Caenorhabditis elegans: one gene and its partner. The protein of the gene in region 1 purifies or fractionates together with the protein of each later gene. This does not show direct contact. Each region holds a gene or a part of one and is shown on either strand. Other genes may lie near its edges.

Evidence for each region.
Region 2: the proteins of Y43F8C.13 (region 1) and gda-1 fractionate together in Caenorhabditis elegans (co-fractionation; one large-scale study listed by BioGRID). This does not show direct contact.

The regions. Positions count from the first base shown.
Region 1 is NC_003283.11:19,693,113-19,699,320, reverse strand, and holds Y43F8C.13 (Nucleoside hydrolase), read left to right. Parts: upstream 1-1,922; 5' UTR 1,923-1,934; coding exon 1,935-1,965; intron 1,966-2,463; coding exon 2,464-2,824; intron 2,825-3,597; coding exon 3,598-3,719; intron 3,720-3,924; coding exon 3,925-4,125; intron 4,126-4,569; coding exon 4,570-4,772; intron 4,773-5,234; coding exon 5,235-5,333; 3' UTR 5,334-5,421; downstream 5,422-6,208. Other genes in the region: ani-3 (Anillin-like protein 3), read right to left, coding at 1-307, 1,243-1,420, 1,479-1,538.
Region 2 is NC_003281.10:11,024,549-11,028,447, reverse strand, and holds gda-1 (CMP/dCMP-type deaminase domain-containing protein), read left to right. Parts: upstream 1-1,881; 5' UTR 1,882-1,906; coding exon 1,907-2,141; intron 2,142-2,449; coding exon 2,450-2,568; intron 2,569-3,007; coding exon 3,008-3,160; 3' UTR 3,161-3,209; downstream 3,210-3,899. Other genes in the region: Y48A6B.8 (Wsv161), read left to right, coding at 1-46, 91-342, 387-498, 550-622, 678-782, 836-994, 1,045-1,114; putative voltage-gated potassium channel subunit kvs-4, read right to left, coding at 3,279-3,395.

The DNA of each region.
Region 1 (6,208 bases):
ACGTCATCATCGGAATTTTCGAAATTTTCAGATTTTTTGGAAATTCCAACGTCATCAGCCACGTAGAGCTCCTCTTTATCCATTTTTTGGGCCAAATTTCGCAATTTCAACGGTGTGGCTCCATATGGATAGGCTCCGCCCACATTTGGAGCATTTTGAGCATTATTCGAATTAAAAACGACAGCCTGGGTGCCACGACGACCATGAAAATGACGTTTTTCGTACGGTGAGATGTATTTTTCCGATTTTTTGGCGAGAATTTCCGGAATTTTGGAGGATTTTGAAGTTGGCGGTGGAGCAATGTGTTCTGGAAGAAAAATGGGTTATTTTTGGCGGGAAATTTCGAATTTTGAAGATCATTTTTGAGAAAAATGTGAAAAGTTGGAAAAACTTGAATTTTTTTTTCGAAAAAAAATTTTTTTTGCAAAAAAATTATCGTTTTTTGGAATTTTTTTAAAATTCGCTCAAAATTCGTAAAATTCCCAATAAAAAGTGAATATTTCGAAAAAAAATTTTTTTTTAATTTTTGAAAAAAAAAAAAATTTTTTGAAATTTTTTTTAATTCTTAAAAAATTTAATTTTTTTCACAATATTCCTTAAAATTAGCTTAAAATCACAAAATTCTAAATTTTAGCGATTTTTCCACCGAAAATTACAGAATTTTAACACAAAATCCGACAATTTTGGTGGTTTTGCTGGAAATTTAGAATTTTCCAGAGGTTTTTCCGTTTTTTCAGGATTTTTTAGAGAAAATTTTCGAAATTCACCAGAAACTCAATGGTAAATTGCCAATTAAAATGAAAATTTTGAAAAAAAAAATTTTTTTGAATTTTTGGAAAAAAAAATTTCTAAAAATTAGTTTTTTGCAAATTATAACTATTTTCTCTGAAAAAGTCCAATTTTGCAAATTTCCACTCAAAATTCAATTTAAACCATAATTTTCATCCGAAAACTTGCGAAAAATCCCATTTTTTCTGGATTTTTCCCAAAACTTTTGGGATTTTCCGATTGTTTTTTCTAAAAAATCAATTTTCCATGTAAAAACTGTATAGTTGGTGTGTTGACAGTGCAAATAAATTAACAATACATGTGAATTTATAAATTTGCATTTGAATAGGAGAAATACCGGGGGAAATGGTTTTTTTTTCTCATTTTCCTCAATTTTTCTCAATTTTCCCCATTTTTTTCCAGTTTTTTCGCATTCCCCTATCGATTTTCTCAATTATCGATTGATTTCCGCACCATTTTCAAGACTTTCAACCCTTTGCGTGGGCGGAGGTGGGGGCTTCTGCTCCAGCATGCCGGAGCACTGATCGAACGCGGCGACGAGATCACGAATTCGGCCGCGTGGCACCGGTTTGCGCCACGTAGCATCTGACGGTGGTGTATCGACGATCGGGTGCGGCATCCAGCGGTAGAACTGGAAAAAATTCGGATTTTTTGTGAATTGTATCGATTTTTCCGGATTTTTGCCCTACCTGACTTGATCCGATTGGCACCGGAGTTGGCGGCATCGATTTTCCGTCGAAATTCTCCATTTTTCGTCAAAAATCTCCGAAAAAACGGCGAAAAACCGTCTAGAAATCGCAAAAATCGATTTTAAAAATTCAAAATTCCATCGAATCCCTCACATCACTGAATTCGTGGCGAGACCTATTTGAAGTTTTGAGCTATGCGCCTTTAAGAAAAACCGTAGTTTTTTCGCGAATTATCGCATTTATGCGGAATTACGGCGAAAAAGCGAGAATAATCGAAGAAAATGCGATAAGAATTGATAAAAAATGATAAGATTGTGTGCATTATTCAGGTGACAGATTGATTTTTGCCCAAATGTTGCGTTTTTTGCGACGAGAAATAATTCATATATTTATTTAGTTATTTTAAGTTTAATTTTTTCACTTTAATAACATTACGCTCTTCAGAAAAAAGACAACATGACTGTGGACAAGGTTAAGCTGGTCATTGGTGAGTTAAACGGAGAATAAAAACAAATTTAAACCAATTTTTGAGTAAAAAATTCTATAAAATTCGTTAAAACTCGAGTTTTTTCTTTTCTTTTTTAAAATTTCTACTTTTCTACGTTCAAATACACCGAAAACGTATTAATTCCGAAGATTTTCGTTAAAACACTGGAAAATTCGAGCTTCCCGCCAGAAAACTGAGTTTGTCATTGGAGCGTGATTGCATTGCTTGGCGATTTAAAAAAACGAGTCTAGACGCTTCAATAATCGATTTTTTCGGATTTTCAGATGATAAACGAGAATTCTAATTTAAAAAAAAACAAGAAGTCTTCAAATTTTCCACTTATTTTCGTCAAAAAACACTTGAAAATTTGAAATTAGCGTCGGAAAACGGACTAGTTCACTGGAGCGCGCTTGCTTAGCGAGTTTTATCGATTTTTAAAGTTTTACATAAAGTTTACCAAATTTTAAGCTTTAAAAACAAAAATTAATCGATTTTCAGACTCTGACGGTGTAAGCGACGACGTGCGAGCCATCTCCCTAGCCTTGCAGCACCCAAAAGCCGAAATTCTCGCATTCACCGCAGTCCACGGCTGTGTGACAGTAGATCAAGCCTGTGCGAACATCAAAAGAACCATCCGAGCCAACGATCGGAGCAATATCCCAGTGTACAAGGGTGCGGCTAAATCGATTTTGTCGCTGCCGAAGGATGATACCGTATCCGATTTTTTCGGGATCGATGGGATCGGTGATAAGCCGGAGGAGTTCCCGAAAGTCGAAAGATCCGATTTTGAGGGGGAGGGGAAGCATGCGTCACTTGCTTTAATCGATATTTTGAGAGAGAATCGGGATGCCACTTTGGTGTAAGTTGAGGCTACAGTAACCCTTCTGTACCCCCACCGCATCCCTACAGTACCCCTACAGTACCCCCACAGCGACCTACAGTACCCTTGCACTATCCCTACAGTACCCCACAGTACCCCTGCACTATCCCTACAGTACCCCACAGTACCCCTGCACTATCCCTGGTACCCCGGACAGTTCCCCTCTAGTATTCACGCAGTAGTGTTACTGTATCCCCACAGTTCCCCACTGTGCCCTTGCAGTAACACTACAGTATCCCTACAGCAACTCTACAGTAACCCTATAGTACCCCGACAGTACCCCAACAGATCCCCTACATAACCCTACAGTACCTCTGGTAACCGAACAGGTACTCACACAATAGTGTTACAGTACCCCTACTGTTCCCCCCACAGTACACACACAGTAACCCTACAGTAACCCTACACTAATTCCACTAAAGCCCTATGGTACCATAACTGTATACCTACAGTATTTCTACAGTACCCCTACAGTATCCCTGGTACCTGGACAGTTTCCCTACCCTACCCCAATAGACCCCCTACAGAAACCCTACAGTACCGCTTCAGTACCCCTACAGTACTCCTACAGTACCCCTACATTACCCCTATAGTACCTCAACATTACCCTTTTAAAGTCCTACGGTACTCCTACAGTATCCATACAGTCCTCCTACATTTTCGCCTACGCCGAGCTATTCTGGGTGTCAAATTTCGATTTTAATCTATTTTTGCTCAATTTTCCCTAAATTTTCAACAAAACCATTTTTCAGAACCATCGGTCCCCTCACAAACGTGGCGATTGCTCTCCAACTCTGCGAGGAGTTTTCGACGTACCCATCCCGGCTGGTAATCATGGGAGGAAATTATTACGCGGTCGGAAATGTTGATGGAGGTAGGTTCTTCAAAAAAAAAACTAGGGTGGACCACTTTGGCGGGCCATATCTCGTTTCATTTTTGAGATATTAGAAAAGTTTCAACTATAAACCTGTTCAGAAACATGTAACAAACATTTCATCAGTTAACAATTTGTTGACAAACCCAAAACCGACGGAGATACAGACCCGTCAAACCCCAAAAAGCCCCCCTAATTTTTCCAGGTTCCTCAGCCGAGTACAACTTCCACGGAGACCCGGAAGCCGCGAGCATTGTGCTCCGACGTATGAAGTGTCCCATCACCATTGTTCCATGGGAGGCATTCTATTTTGAATCAAAGACCCATGATGCTTCAGTTGATTTTTCGGCTCATTTGAAGTATGGAACCCCATTGGCTAATTACTTATCGCTGGCCACCAGCATTGGTAAGGTTTTTTAAAGTTATAACTCGAAAACTAGGGTAGATACTAGATACCAAAAAAAAACTGTCAATTGGAAAGTTGTTCAGCGTAAAATTCTGCATTGATTTGACCCCCATGTCGATAATTTTCAAATTTTCGAATTTGACACTTAAAATTGCTCGCGGAGCTCCTAGCCTTTCCCAATGCTTCAAACGTATTGAAATTTCGTTTTTCGGATAACCCGCAAAATCCTACACCCAGAAAACTCAACTTCCAGCCTTAGCCAGCAGTTTTGTAAAGGGGTCGAAGTGGCTCAACTGGGTACATGTACGGCTTTGGTGAAATAGGTCCGGGCTTCTCGAGGCCCCGCTAGTGTGTCAATAATTTTTTTAGAGTTCGAAGGTCTGTAGATTAGTCAACAAGTACATTTTTTTTTTAGAGTTCCTAAATTCGATTTGTATGTTCCAGGCCGCGTAAAATGCGAGGCCAACGGCCGCCAATACTCCTACTGCGACGAGATCGCTGTGGCTACTGCAATCGATGAGGATAAAATTGCAAAAAAGTCTCAGTACCTGTATGTCGATGTAGAGCTGAATGGAACAAAGACACGTGGGCAGGTTGTGGTTGATTGGACCGAGCAACTGTGGTCGAATGAGGAAGCTCCGAATCAGGTGAAAACAAAAAATCTGGGGTTCTGTATAGTTTTTGAGGCATAACTCGGAAACTAGAAGAGTTATCAAAAAGTTGCCAACTGAAATGTTGTTCAGCGTGAAATTCTGCATCGATTTGACCCCCATATAAAAAATTTTCAAATTTTCAAGGTCGATACCCAAAATTGCTCACGGAGCTTTTAGCTGCTCATGGTGTTCCAAACTTATTTAAAACATGATTTTTGGGTTCCCCGTAGTATTCTACATCAGGTACGGTTGAATTCCAGCCTTAGCCAGCAATTTTGAAAATGGGGCGAAGTGGCTCAGGTGGGTAGATTGATGAGGCTATTGTGAAATAGGTCAGGGGTTCGAATCCCTTTGGGTTTATTAGTATTTTTAATGTTATATACAATAGATATACAACACTCAGACAGTCCAAAATCTAGATATTATCAATTTTTTGTTTAATAAACCAATTTTCAGCACACCCATCGCCGTGTCAAATTCGTCACCTCTTACGACGTTCATACTGTGGACAAGTGGCTTCATGCAGCCACTTCTGGAAGTGGAAAATTCGATTAACTCTTTAAAACTGTAAAATGTCACATTTATTGCTCTTATTTATGGTGTGTGTGTGTGTGTGTTGAAATTTGCAATAAAAAGTTATTTTTTAATGAAAATTATGACTTTTTCGAAGCATAACTCGAAAACTAGAGTAGATATCAAAAAAGTGTCAACTGAAATGTTGTTCAGCGTAAAATTCTGCACCGAATTGACCCCCATTTAGAATATTTTGTAATTTTCGAATTTGACACCTAAAACTGCTCGCGGAGCTCCTACCTGCTCCCGGTGAACCAAACTGGCTGAAAATCTGATATTCAAAATAACCGTGAAATTCTACACCAGGGACACCTAAATTCCAGCTTTAGCCAGCATTTTTGAAAAATGGTGAAAGTGGCTCAACTGGGTAGATGGACGGCTATGGTGAAAAAAGCCAGGGGTTCGAGTCCCCGCTAGTGTCAATAATTTTTCCAGGGTAATGCAACATGCAGGCAGATGTTTTAATGGAGAACATCAGAAATTTCAGCTGAATTTCGCAAATTTCAGGTTTTTCAAATAGTTTTCCGACTAAATCGCAAATAACTGAAAAACTAGAAGAGTTATCAAAAAGTTGCCAACTGAAATGTTGTTCAGCGTAAAATTCTGCATCGATTTGACCCCCATATCAAAAATTTTGAAATTTTCGAATTTCACTTCTAAAATTGCTCACGGAGCTCCTAGCTGCTCCCGGTGCTCCAAACCAGCCGGAAATGTAGTTTCCTAGTTTCTAGTAAAATTCTACATATATAAAAAACTCAAATTCCAGCCTTAGTCAGCATTTCTGAAAAAGGATGGAAGTGGCTCAACTGGGTACATGGACGGCTATGGTGAAATAGGTCCTAGGTTCGAGTCCCCGC
Region 2 (3,899 bases), on another chromosome or scaffold:
TACAGAAGACGAGAAAGAGTCTATTCAAATTGCACAGATGATGATGGCAGGCCGTAATTAATCAATTTCATATCCTAATACTTTTTTCAGTTTAAAATGCAGGATCCTAAGGATGGGAATTACACCGCACTTGCAGCAAACGTGCACACCCTGACATCGAAAATTTCAAAGCAGTTGAACGCTGGATGTATCGTGAAACGAACACTTACGATGAACCACACAATTTCACAAGCTGACGGGTTTCCTACGTGTAATCTCACAGATATTTATAACTCTGAACTCTTGATTGGAGGTGATGCCGTCTCGCAACTTTCAAATTTCTATATGGTTGCCTTGAAAACTGTAAGTTGACATTTTGATATATAAAAATAATAAATTCAATTCAGATGCTGGAGCCTTCTTATAAAATCTGGGCATTTACTTACCGACCAAGCTGTGTTCGCCGTGTTGATAGACATTTTCAAGAGTTACCACAAAAAGTGACAACAGCGATTATTGGTGCGTTTAAGATGTGAACAATTTCTAATCACAAAATCATGTTTTTTTCAGAAGTCGCATTCGATATTGTTGGAGTTTATTTGCCGGTTGAGCTGTCATACGGTTCGATTGATAGGGAGCATGAGTAAGACATGAACCAACTTTAAACAATTTTGAATTATTCATTTCATTTCTTCTAGATTCATCAAAACGCTTGGAGAAGGAGCAGAACTTGAGGTTCAGCGCCGTAGGGACGAAAGAATCACAGTGTTCAAGAACGCAGTAGAAGCCCTTGGCAAAGCAATGTAAGAAATCTCGTAAAAATTGTAAAATGTAAAAAAAAATGATATGATTTCAGGAACAATCTTCGAACATATCACTTTGATATTGCCAAAGGAGCACTATTCAACTGCAATAAACCATCTTATTGCGAGCATCATCTCAAGTGGGGACAGGTTCGAAAGTTCAGAGAACAGCATCAGAGGATGGAAACGTCACCAGAAGAAGTTATCAGATTGTAAGTAACTCAATACTTTTAATCGATAAACCAATACATTTTCATTACAGTGCAACCGGTCAACGCAATGAGCATGATGTCTCCGCTGCTGGACGATCGGTCAAAGACTCCACCCACTGAAGCTTAATTTTTCGTTGTTTTTTTTTTGTAATTGATTTTTGTTGTTAACCCTGTTCATGTTTTGTCCTTAAATAAATATTTTCCACAGGAAATCGTCTAAAGAATAAAGTAAAAGCGCGGCATAATTCGCATCTATAATCACCAAGGTCTTGCCCAAGTTTAGCCCAAGTTTAGCCCAAGTTTTACCCAAGTTTTGCCCAAGTTTGGCCAGCTTCTAATCCATGTTAATTTTTCTTGGGTGAAACTTGGGCAAGAAGCTGGCGGTGAATGCCGAGTTCCCCGCAAAAGCTTCAGTTTTTAATTATTTGATCTACCACCTCTTGCACTTTCCCCTGCCACTCTCTCACCTGATACTAGGCCCCCATAAATTTTCAATTTTCTTCCATTTCTCACAAATTTTCTTATCAAAACCTTTTTTAATTTCTTATCAATTAAATAATCTTACAACAGACATCATACCAGAAAAACCAAAAAAAAAAAGAAAGTGCTCGCGGAGCTCACGTGGTTGGCTCGGGCAGCTGGGGGTGGAAAAGCTCGTCGCTGATAAGGGATCACTTTGTGATAAGACGATGATGATCGTGACCTGTTTCAAAGACGTTTTGCCACTTTCGACGCGAATTTTTGGGTTTTTTGGGGGAAAAATTTGTTGCATTTTGTTGAATTTTTAGAATTTTTTATTTACTTTTTTGGGAGTTTTTTCAACAAAAACCCGCCTGCTCACCTCGAAAATTTCCTTTCTTCGTCAGACCTTACTAATTTTTTTTCAGAACCTTCCCCAACTCCTACTATAAAATGAGCCCATCCGCCTCTGATAAGCCTCTCCCACCCCATCACGCTGAGCACATGGCCGAAGCTGTCGCAGAAGCTTGTCGAGGTGTCGAGTGTGGAGATGGTGGACCATTCGGTGCGGTTGTAGTTGATTCAAACGGGAAAGTGGTCGCAAAAGGCCACAATATGGTGCTGGTCACCAAGGATCCGACAATGCACGCCGAGATGACTGCTATTAAGAATGCCTGCAAGGCATTGGGTAGGCACACGAATATTTAGAGCATCTAGTGATAAATTGACATAACATTTGAATTTTACAACCTCGATTTCCTATATTTCTTAAAAAATTTTTTTGCGATTTTTAGGATTTTTTTTTTCAAAAAAAAAGTTGCAGAATTTTTTCTCGAATTAGAGCAAATTTTTTCACATAATTTTACAAGTTAGATAGTTTAAAATTATTTTTGAAAATTGAAAAAAAACAACGATTAACTATTTTTCTGTTAAAAAATGCTAAATTTTTTCGACGTTTTTTTTCGATAAGTTTTTAATTGAAATTCACGTTTTCAGGAACTTTTGACCTATCTGGACATATTTTGTACACATCTTGCTATCCATGCCCAATGTGCATGGGCGGATGCCTTTGGGCTCGATTCGACGCAATTTACTACGGAGCAACTGCTCAGCAGGTGATTTTCATAAAAACTAATTTTTTACACTATTACTGTCTCTTTAAGAGCTTTTATCAATTTTAGTGACGTTCGGGGTTATTTTTCAAACTTTGGGTTACTGTAGCACCAAAAGTACGCAATACACCGGACCTTACGGCAAAATCACAAACTTTTGAAATTTTACCGAATCTGTTCAAACCAGTTATAGACCTAATCTAGAAATTGCCTGTAAAAATCCATAATTTTGTGCATTTTCTCAAGTTCATTAATTTGTGGAAACCCTTGGAAAAAGTAATTTTCAAAATTTTTTACTAAAAAAATCGAATTCTGCACCTTTTTTCAGTTCAATTTAAAAAAAAACTGTGCATTTTGTCGTAAGCTTTGGTGCACTGCGTATTTTCGGTGACACAGTAACCCAAAAAAAAAAACCTTTTCCAAATAAAACAAGTTCTTCCAGGCGGCCGAGATTGGATTCGACGACAAAGCATTCCACGACTTCCTAAAAGACCCGAAAAGCGATGAAATCCGAAAATTGGAGCATTTGGCAGCCGACAACTACCTACTCCCATTCCAAATGTGGTCCAACAAACCGGACAAGACAGAATATTAATTGGAGTATTTTTTTGAAAATTGTTTCGTTAAATAAAATTTGAAAAACATATAAAAAGACAAATACATTGGGACGGTTGGGGAAAAATTGGCAAAATTGGCAAAATTTCAAACTTTTTTTAGGTAACTTTCAAAATCATTTGCTCGGATTTTGTAGCTTTTGGGTATTGAGATGTTCGATATCGATTTCCACCCGCCGGACGTTCAGTTTCAGCCACTTTCATGAAGTTATCGACCTGAAAATTAAAAAAAAAAATTAGAAGAAAATTTGTTTCCTGGCTATCAAATTTTCTGTTGAAAATCTTGTAATGTGCAGGGTTAGAATTGAAAAAAAAACGTTTTTAGTAAAGAAAAGTGCTCAAAGTTTTGTTTTTTCAGAGATATGACGCATTACGGGTTACTTGTGCCCTAAGAGTACGCGATACACCGAATCTTACGGCAAAACGCACAGGTTTTAAAACGTGGCGCCAATCTGTCCCATTGCGGTTTGATCTACAAAAAATGCGGGAATTTTTTGCCTAAAAAAATGTGAAGTCAACACGTTCTTAACCATGCGAAATCAGTTGAGAACTCTGCGTCTCGTTTCCCGCATTTTTTGTAGATCTAAGAAGATCAAGCCGAAATGGGACACTCTGACACCACGTGTTTACCCAAAAAGCATATTTTGCACAATTTTAAAGTTTTGTGCATGTTGTCGTAAGATTCGGTGCACTGCGTACTTCCAGAGCTACAGTAACCTG